Linked DNA regions of Canis lupus familiaris. The protein of the gene in region 2 binds, or shares a complex with, the protein of the main gene of each other region. Links are inferred from orthologs where the notes say so. Each region holds a gene or a part of one and is shown on either strand. Other genes may lie near its edges.

Region 1 (4,567 bases), on a different chromosome or scaffold from region 2:
TGGAAAAGATATGCTCACGACTTGTATATCAGCAGGGGCCACCGTCACTACCTATGGCTAGCAGGGGGGCCTGGCAAAAGGTGCACCTTGGAAATCTTATCAGAGAAGATAAGTGGCACTCCCACTGGCTACTGTCTCTTTCTTCTCTCTGGCCCAGCAAAAATTAGCAATTTTCCCATCAGAACTTTACCTTTTAGTCTCGCAAGATTCTTACTCTTGTATTAATTTACACCAATTTGTATTGCAAGCACACAGGGCTCATTGAATAGGAGACATCCTGGATTGAAAGTCTTGGGTTCTCGTTCAGGTAATATCTTGTCTAACAGTGGAGTTTTGGACACATTAATTACTAAACCTCATCATAACATGTGAACATGGACTATGTTAGCAGTTTCCAAACCCAGGTAGGTTTCACAATTACCTGATCTTTATAAAAGTGCATTTTAATCCCTGGTTCTATTCCTCAGGAATTTAACTGGCTTTTGAATTCTGTCTTTTTAAAAGTGTTGAGGGGCACCTGGATGGCTCACTTGGTTGAGCGTCCGACTCTTGATCACCAGTTCAGGTCGTGATCTCAGGGTCATGGGATCAAGTCCTCTCGGCTTCAGGCGCTGTGCTCAATGGGAAGGCTGCTTCTCTCCCACTCTCCCTGCCCCTCCCAACCCCTCTCTCTAAAATAAATTAAATAAATAAATAAATAAATAAATAAATAAATAAATAAATAAATAAATAATTTTGAGATTATTTGGATTCCCACCCAGACCAAGCAGAAGAGCAGACTTAAGGTAGAGAAGGTATATCACCTGCTAGTAAGAAAGACCTAAAGTAACAATGGCTTAAATAAGACAGCGATTTGATTCCTCATAAAGAAGTTGGGAGGTAGATAATCCAGGGCTGGTATGGCAGCTTTACCACATCGCCAATGTCCCAGGCTCCTTCTCTTTCTACTTTATCCGTATATGGGTGCCACTCCCACATGGCTTCCATCCTCTGAGTCACTTCATGTCTTCAAGATAGCCAATTGAGTTCCAGCCAATTGAGTTCCAGCAGGAGGCTGGAGGACGGGGAAAAAGAAGGAAGAAAGGATGCTCTCCCCTGATGAGTCAGCCTCCTACTTTCCCAGGAGCCCCACCTTGTCACTTCCATTTTTATGTCATTGGCCACCTCTGGCTAAAAAGGAGTTTGAGAAACATACATGTGGCCTTCTGGAAGAAGACAAGTGTTCTGTTAGGAAGGAAGCGGCAAGATGGGTATGGAATGAGCAACTGGCAGTCTCTGCCCCAGAAGGGAATTCTTAACAACTTGCATTTAAAGTGCTAGTTAGATACTTTGATGGTGATACCAGACAGGGATCAGAGAAGTGTCTGGAGTTCAGTGGATGTCAGGCGCTGAACCTATAGACCTCGGATGCTCTGAAAGTTATGACCAAAATGTTCAGAAATGAACAGTCACCAAGGGGAAGATTGTAAAGAGAGATAAGAATCTTGAAGAATCTTAAAGATAGAATCTTAGGAACCCAGAAGGAAGGAGTCTGAGAGGTGAGTGCAATGTCAGAGAATTTTCAGGAGGGTGTGGCCTGTGCTGCCAAATGCAGCATAGTCTGTGACAACGAGGCCCAAGTGGATCTGGTGACTGGGAATTCACTGGTGGTCCTCGAGAGGGCAATTAGTGGAAGAAGAGGGCAGAAAGCAGATTTCAAGGAGATGAGGCAAAAATGGAAGATGCGGAAATGGAGGCATGAGTACAGACCACATCTTGGAGAAGCTTGGCAGAGACAAAAGAGGGTCAGGGTCAAGAGTGGCAAAGGGTCGCAGAGAAGCGGGACTGGAGGAGCCATTTTTTCAAGTTCAGTGTGATGGCTATAAGGTATGTGATTTAGCTTCATGCACAAGGAGGGATCCTTGTTTAGGGATCCGGTGGGAAACCTTGCCTACATTAACATCTGTGCCACTCTGAACACTATGGGGAGGCTTTTGCTCCCCAGATAGGGGATACTGGGCACACACTCCAGTCTTCTGATGTCCCACAGCTGTCCAGACAGAGCAGTATCTCTTGATGCCCTGTAAGCCAGGCAAGAGCTCCAAGGTTTGATGAAGGGCTCCGCAGCTACCCAGTGACTGTGATGGCAAGGTCAAGTTGAAATGGGGTTTTCATCTGGCGGAGGACAGAAACACAGAGAAGTACTTGGGGTGAAGCAAAGACAGCAAATAGTAAAAGAAGTTGGAGGTTAGATGCTTCCAAAAAGCACAAAGATAGGAATGTGGGAAGCATGGCCAAGGCCAGAACAAGTCAGGAAGGGTATGGAAACCTATACCAACCAGGGTGTTGGTATAGACTAGAAGTGGAAGACACCTGGAGAGACAGAGCAGCAGCAGAAGTTCCCAGAGCCCTGGCAGGTCTACTGGATGGTATCTGATGGCCCCTCTTCCCCACCTAAACCCGACTCCAACCTGTCTACATTCCAAAGGGTCTTGACCCTCATTTCCTATAACTGAGACACAGGTAAGTGAGAACGAGTATATGTGGGATGAAAAATGAACCACACCAGGGTTCATCTCAACATGCAGATTTAAGTACATGCTTTGACATCCCCAGCTTCTTAAACCAAACTGATCTCTCCCAAGCCTGGGAAGAGAACAAAATAAGATTCTTTTTTATGGGTGAGTCGTGAGTCGTATTGGCTTCAAAAACTCAGCTAGTGCTCTGAGTGTGGTTTGGGGCATTCATTCCGCACTGACTTTCTGTGATACCTGTGGTAAATTAACTCACCTCTCTGGCCAGATAGTTTTCTGTGTCTTTGCAACTCTGAAATTCTACAAACCTGAGTGATTATGTGTAAAACTGCTACACGATACCTAAAAAAGAGATGCTTCAGAAGCACTTGCATTGGTACCAATGTGGATTTTGTATGCAATAGAAGGATTTTATGTCATCACCTTGGACTAATGGACATTCCCAATCCTTCTCCTCCCTCCCTCCCTCCCCACGCTGCCTATATCTTTGCAGGTGTGCATCCTTGAGTGTGAAGGGAAGGTCTTCAGCAGCCCTCTCTGGACTCCATGCACCAAGGTCATGGCCAGGAGCTCCTGGCAGCTCAGCCCTGCTGCCCCAGAGCACGTGGCAACTGTCCTTCACCAGCCAAGTACCTCTGAGATCCAGCTGAAGCGCATGCCTCGCATCAGGAGCCTAATCCAAGCCCAGGAAGGGACCGAGCCAGGCATGGATGAGGCTGGAGAGATAGAGCAGAAGCAGCTGCAGAAGAGATTTGGAGGCTTCACTGGGGCCCGGAAGTCAGCCCGGAAGTTGGCCAACCAAAAGCGGTTCAGTGAGTTTATGAGGCAGTACCTGGTCCTGAGCATGCAGTCCAGTCAGCGCCGGCGCACCTTGCATCAGAATGGTAATGTGTAGCCGGAAGGGGAGCCCCTCCCAGCTGCACCGTCCACTTCAACCCATGAGTGAGTTGGGCACGAATGAGCTGGGGGCAAAAGGAAACCTTATATACCCAACTGTCTTAGCCTTTCTCCTGGGCCTGGAAGCACATTAGCCCCCAGATACATACACACACACATCCCAGACCTCCCCAAGGTATTCAGCTCCTGGGAGGCAGGGAAGGTATATTCACCTCTCTGCCTCCTACCTATCCTTTCTCTAGGGAGCAAACATTTTCCTCAGATTGTTCCTTAGGGCTGACCACTGCCATTTAGAGATTGGTTACCATGGGGATAATAGTAGCCTGTTAAGATAACTAATTCCTCTATCACTCTCCAGGAGCTCAGTTACTATGGGGACAGTTAAGTGGACCAATCTACCTATCCAGTTGCCATAGTAACCATTCAGTTCACCTTTCCTCAGAGACTATCTAGGAACCCATAGCTAGACCTACTTCATCATCATCACTGAGCAAGGCTTAGAGAATCTGGGCCATCTTATGCCCAAGGGAATGCTTCTACATGTACTATAATACATATCAGATAATAAACATCAAACCCTCTAATTTATTGCCCAGTCATTACAAATTCCACTTTCCTTGGTCCGTCACCCTGTACAGAACTTCTAGTGGAGTAGAAAACTAGCACAGTGGAATTTTTCTGAAAATCTAAGAAAATTCTACTCATCAAACATATGTGCCTTAATTCATATATGGGAATCTGATTATCTGCAGAGCCTCATACCTCTTCGTTAACAGTAGAAACTTACCCTAATAGAAAGAACTAATCAATTGGTCATAAACATTCCCCCGAACATTACCCAAGTGAGGCTTTTCCCTGATTTAGGGGCATTAAAAAAGTCTACATGTGCTGTTTTATTTTGCTCTCTATATGTCAAAGGTAGCCAGATCATTAATAATCCTCATTTTCAAAGTATATTAATACAACTGTTAATCTTTGGCACCCACACTTCAGCATGGGGGCAGCCCACATAGCTCTTTGCAGGTAAGCTGGTTGTAGAAGATGCATTACCAAATACAGACGTAAGTATTAAATTGTGAGGAGAAGGCTGCCATGTGCATTTTAGCAGAATGACTAATCTCTAAAGGCCCTGAATTAACCCTCACGGTTTTTGAAGT
Region 2 (5,059 bases):
TTCTAGCAGCTGTAGTCATTACTGCCAGGCCCTGGAAGCAACTGCGACGTGCTTCAGTAGCTGACGGATTAGCAAACTGGTAGATCCAGGAAATCGAACACTATTTAGTGATAAAAAGAAATGAGCTGGCAGGGGCCGGGGGGCGGGGGGGGGGGGTGCTTCTCCCTCTGCCCCTCCACCCTCCTCTCCTGTGTACTCTCTTGCTCTCTCTCTGAAATGAAGGAATTTTTAAAATCTTAAAAAAGAAAGAAAGAAAGGAGCCATGAAAAGCCATGGAGAAGTCCTGAGCACATATCACTAAGGGGAAGGAGCCAATCTGAGAAAGCTGCACACTTGTGATGCCGGGTGCATGACATTCTGGAGACAGTAGACGGGGCAGGGGGTGCTGGAGGCTTGGGGTTCAGGAGGGATGAGCCCGCAGGGCACAGGGAGTCTGCACAACCTCCGTCCTTTCCTCTCAGCTTTGCTTTTGAACCTAAAACCCCTCTTTAAAAAATAAAATCTCAAAAAATAATAATAATAATAATAAATTCTAAAAATTTTTTAAAAATAAAATCTCTTAGAAAGAGCAGGGCGGGGGGCCTGGGGTCTCTGCCTCCCGAGGAGCCCACCCAGTGCGGGCCCAGCATGCTCGGCGCTGCCCCTCGGGCCCGTGGCCGCTCGGCTGTGCAAGGACCGCCGTAGGCGACACAGCGCCCCTGTCTGCTCTGATCAGGACGTGGCTCCGGGCGCTGACGCCCAGTGCAGAGGACAGAGGCGGAGAGGCAGCGACAAGGAGAAGGGAACAGGACCACCCAGGTGGGGGCGCGTCTCACGCACGGCACGCCTGTGCACCTCCAGACGCAAAGGGGCGTGTGAGCCCCGGCCCCTGGAGCTCAGCACTGGGCCCAGAGCAGCTCTCCCCTGCCCCTTGTGCAAGCATGTGCACCGAACACACCAACACACACCTTGCACACGTCCATGTCCACACGCTCACGGTGTGCACACTCGCGTGTACGTGCTCATGTGTGCATGTCCAGCCTGAGGTGCACCTGCATGCATGTACGTGTGTGCACATGCGTGTACACCATGTGCCACACTAGCTCCTATGTGCACACACTCTCGTACATCCGTGTGTGGGCACCAACAGTTCTGTGCCCACCTACGCATGTGCATTCACACGTGTGTGTGCATGCTCTACGTATGTGTACACACGGACACACACACACATGCACGTCCTCACACTGTCCCCCTGTGGTGTCCCCCTACCTGCAGCCGGGCCACCGCTCCTGATCCCACGGGCTTCCCCACTCTGAGCACCAGCAGATGCTGAGTCAGCCCCGACTCCAGCCAAGACGGAGCCCTGGGGCCCCAGGGAAGGGGCTTCGGGCACCTGGCCACGCGGGCCCTGCAACAGGCCGCCAGAGCCGCCTCCCGGGTCGCTGTGCCAGCCGTGAGCCCCTCCCAGGGTGGCCCGCAGCTCGGATCAGGGAGTCAGGGTGACCTTCCATCTGGGACATGGCTGCACCCCACCCCCGGCCGGACTGGGGTGGGCAGAGCTGATCCCCTCCCACGCCCTCCCCCAGTCAGGTGCCCCAGCCGTGAAGACTCGAGCATGCAGGGCCTCCGTGTGGACCCGGACCCTGCCCCTGCCCCTGCCCCTGCCTGACAGGATGACCAAAAATTGAATGGGAATTGTGCAAAATCTCTAGCTGCCAAGCCCACCCAAGACAGCCCCCAGCCTGTGTCCCCTCTGCAGCAGGTGGCACTCACCAGGAGGGGACCTCGGCGGGTCCCCAGCTTACCTGAGGATGACATACATGACGAGGCAGTTCCCCAGCAGTCCCCCGATGCAGACGGCCAGGTAGAGCCCCACAATGGTGACCTTGAGCCCAAGGGGCAGAAAGGCGCCATGGCTGGCGTTGAGCAGCAGGGTGGGAGGCAGCAGGCTGTGGTTGGGGCTCAGGAGGGACAGGTTGCCCTGCAGGTGGCTGCCGTAGAGGACCTCCCAGAACGGGGCAGGGAAGAGGGACTCCATGCCACCTCCTTGTGTGCAAGGCCACTAGGCACCTGGGAGAGAACAGGACACATGACCGCAGCACCCGGCCCTCACCCAGCCCGGAGGCGGCCTCGCAGGCACGCGGTGCCCCCAGACAGCCCCAGACACACGCACACGTACACACCGTGGGGACAGCAGACACGCACAGATCGGGGACAGAGAGAGGCAGGCGTGTGGACAAGGGCACGGTCTGGTCTGGCCTGCAGACTCCCACGTGGGATGTGCGGATGTAGCTACACGCGGAGACACGCGCCCACCCACAGGGACCGTGGACACACCGCCATCCCTGTGCACACGCCGCACACACAGGCGCAGACCTGCCCTCACGCACACACGGGCACAGAAGGGACGGAGACGCCGAGAAACACCTGGGACGCAGGGCGTGAGCCAGCCGCCCCCTTCCTCTTCCTCCACCCCCCACCCCGCCGGTCCACACCCGCGGCCACTGCCCAGGCCTTACCTGCAACGGGTGGGAGCCGAGCAGCCTCAGCACTGGCAGCGCCGCAGGGATCCCGGCCGGTGATCTGGGGCTGGAGGGGCTGCAGGGGAGCCCGGATCCAAGCCGGAGGGGGAGCTGGGGGAGCCGGGGGAGCCGGGGGAGCGCAGGGGGAGCGCAGGGGGAGCTCAGCCCGCTGGAGCAGCTGCTCCTTCTGGAGCCGAGGAGCAGACGCAGCAGCCCCGCAGCCAGTGGGGGGCGGGGGCGGAGACTGCGCTGGAGCAGGAGGGGCTGCGGCCGAGGGGGGTGTCACCGCCAGGCCACAGCACCGGGCGCACACGGAGCTGAAGGACAGGGACAGGCTCGGGCCCACGGACACAGGACATGGACGCACGCGGGACTGGGTCAGGGGACAGACACCCAAGGACACCACCGAGACCCGGGCCAGAGATGCCACACACGCGGGCGGAGACTCGGGAGACACACACAAGATGCAGAGACCAGGACCTCGGGTGGACGCAGACCCGCCTGGCTTGGCACTCCACTCCCCGGGGAGCCGGCCCCCGCGGTCCCATGGGCGGGGGACACAGGGACAGCCAGCCCCAGGGCTCAGAGCCAAGCAGGTGCCTACACTGTGCTGTGCTCCTGGGTGCCTCTGTGTGCTCCACCTGCCCACCGTGAGCATAAGCGTGAGCGTGAGCGTGAGCCTGAGCGCTCCCTCCCCACCACCCCGTCACCTTCGTGTGACAGGAGCACCCAGCCTCAGCGCTGTGCAGCCACCCGTCAAAGGGGCAGAGACAGGGCTAGAACCCAGATCTGTGCACCCCTTTGAGACATACTGAGGGCGTCCCTGCCACACCTGGGTCCCAGAGCAACATCTGAGCATCATTCCCTCACAGCCTGGGCCACCCTCCCTGGCACCCAAGCAGCCCAACAGCTCCCACGGAGCTGCCTCCTTCCCAGCACTGGGAGGGTGCTTCACAGGCCATGAGGGTGACCCCTGAGCCAAGTCACCAGCCTCGAAACCTTGGGGTCATTCTTCCTGCACAGGCTCTACCCCCATAGCCCAGACCCTGCTGGGAGCATCCATCTCCAAGGATGGGGACCTGGTTGCTAGGCGACGAGCAGCAGCGTTGCTAGGATACCTGGCAAATCAGGAGAGGACTGAGCAAGCAGGCGCCCTAGGACTCAGCATCCCAGGCCGTCCCCCAGGACTTACCTCTGCATCTTCACCGCAGCCGACTCAGGGACACGTGTGCAGACACGGGGCACGTCCAGAGGAACACTCACGCGGACACACAGGCTCACATGCCTGCAAACACACACGAAGATGCCCCCCCCCAGATACACGAATTAACACACAAGCACAGGCTGGTGCTCAGACACGCACAGACTCACACAGGTGAGCTCACACCACGTGCATTCAAGTCCCGCGCGCAGCGGGAGAGAACAAGGCCTGAAGACACCCAGGAGGCACACGTGTGCACTGCACTCTCCAGGTGACGCTGGAAACGTGACCCCGCTGACCTCAGGAGCCCGGGGAGGCTCGGCCTCCTGTAGCCTCCCTCCCCCTGCCGCGCCCCCGGGGTCTGAGCAGCCCACCCCAGGCCCTGCCTCCCCCTAGGCACCCACGCCCTCCTCCTTGCAATCTAGCCTCAGGCACAGACGAGGGAAAGAGGGGCCGTGAGGCTGGTCCAGAAAGACGTCCAGGGAGTGCACCCAGGGGACCTGGCACGCAGGACAGCCAGAGGCAGATATCTGGCCACTCGTAGGGACAGTCTTAGCCAAGGACAGACTTGGTCACCCAGCTAGTGGGTGGCCAGGCTGGGATGCTGACTGCCCACCCTGGGGGACAGTGGCCCAGCCCTGGACCCTACGGGGCTCCCACGAGGGAGCCAGCGGCACAGAGGAAACGGCCCGGGGCCTCTGGTCCCCCCAGCAGCCAGGGTAAGACCCAGGGCTCATGTGTCACTCGTAGGACAGCAGGGGACACGTCCTGCCAGGGGCCCGGGGCCAAAGCAGGACACCCTCAAACACACATCACATGCGGACAGCACAGAACACAGGTGACGTGGGACCGTGGGGCCAGGTGCACACAGGTGGTTCTATGAAAGCTAGCCACCGGCCGGTGGGCAGCCGCGGAGCCTGAGGGTCCCCGTCCAAGCTGGGAGCGGGTGGGGACAGCGCCGGCCACCCAGGCACCTTGGAAACAAGGAGGGGTCCCACTACTGTTGGGAACAGATCATGTATTGCCATCCAGCGGGCCCTCAGCCTGAGACCCCTCGGCGGCACACCCCTCGGGGCCAATCGCCAGCTGAGGCAGAGGTAAAGGACGTCCCCAAAGGAATCGTGGCGTTTCAGCAGCCTTGGGGCCCGGGGGGCTCGGTCCGGTACGCCACCCGTGGATTTCAGCACAGGTCACGATCTCGGGGTGGTGAGGTCGAGCCCCACGTCGAGCTGCGTGTGAGTGTGGAGCCTGCCGGCGCCTCCTCTCTCCCTCTGCCGCCCCCCATGCACACACGCTCTCTCGTCGCGCCCCCCCCAAAAAGAAGCAGACGCACAGGACCTGGGCGGCGGCTGATGGC

The links. Proteins that work in one complex are often made in the same cells at the same time.
Region 1: the proteins of OPRL1 (region 2) and PNOC are in contact, whole or in part, in a cryo-EM structure (PDB 8F7X), measured with the Homo sapiens proteins. The link is inferred for Canis lupus familiaris from reciprocal best matches to the Homo sapiens genes OPRL1 and PNOC. Residues at the interface, in NP_000904.1 of Homo sapiens: Gln107, Asp110, Gly114, Phe115, Trp116, Val126, Ile127, Asp130, Tyr131, Met134, Gln192, Glu194, Ile198, Glu199, Cys200, Leu201, Val202, Ile219, Val279, Gln280, Val283, Gln286, Gln291, Pro292, Ser293, Val298, Leu301, Arg302, Thr305, Tyr309; in NP_006219.1 of Homo sapiens: Phe130, Gly131, Gly132, Phe133, Thr134, Gly135, Ala136, Arg137, Lys138, Ser139, Ala140, Arg141, Lys142, Leu143.

Annotation. Positions count from the first base shown.
Region 1 is NC_049246.1:29,394,957-29,399,523, reverse strand, and holds part of PNOC (prepronociceptin), read left to right. Parts: intron 1-3,006; coding exon 3,007-3,397; coding exon of another isoform or gene 3,398-3,408; exon of another isoform or gene 3,409-3,455; intron 3,456-4,567.
Region 2 is NC_049245.1:48,375,114-48,380,172, reverse strand, and holds part of OPRL1 (nociceptin receptor), read right to left. Parts: exon of another isoform or gene 3,787-5,059; 5' UTR 3,694-3,786; exon of another isoform or gene 2,499-3,693; intron 2,050-2,498; 5' UTR 2,018-2,049; coding exon 1,785-2,017; intron 1-1,784.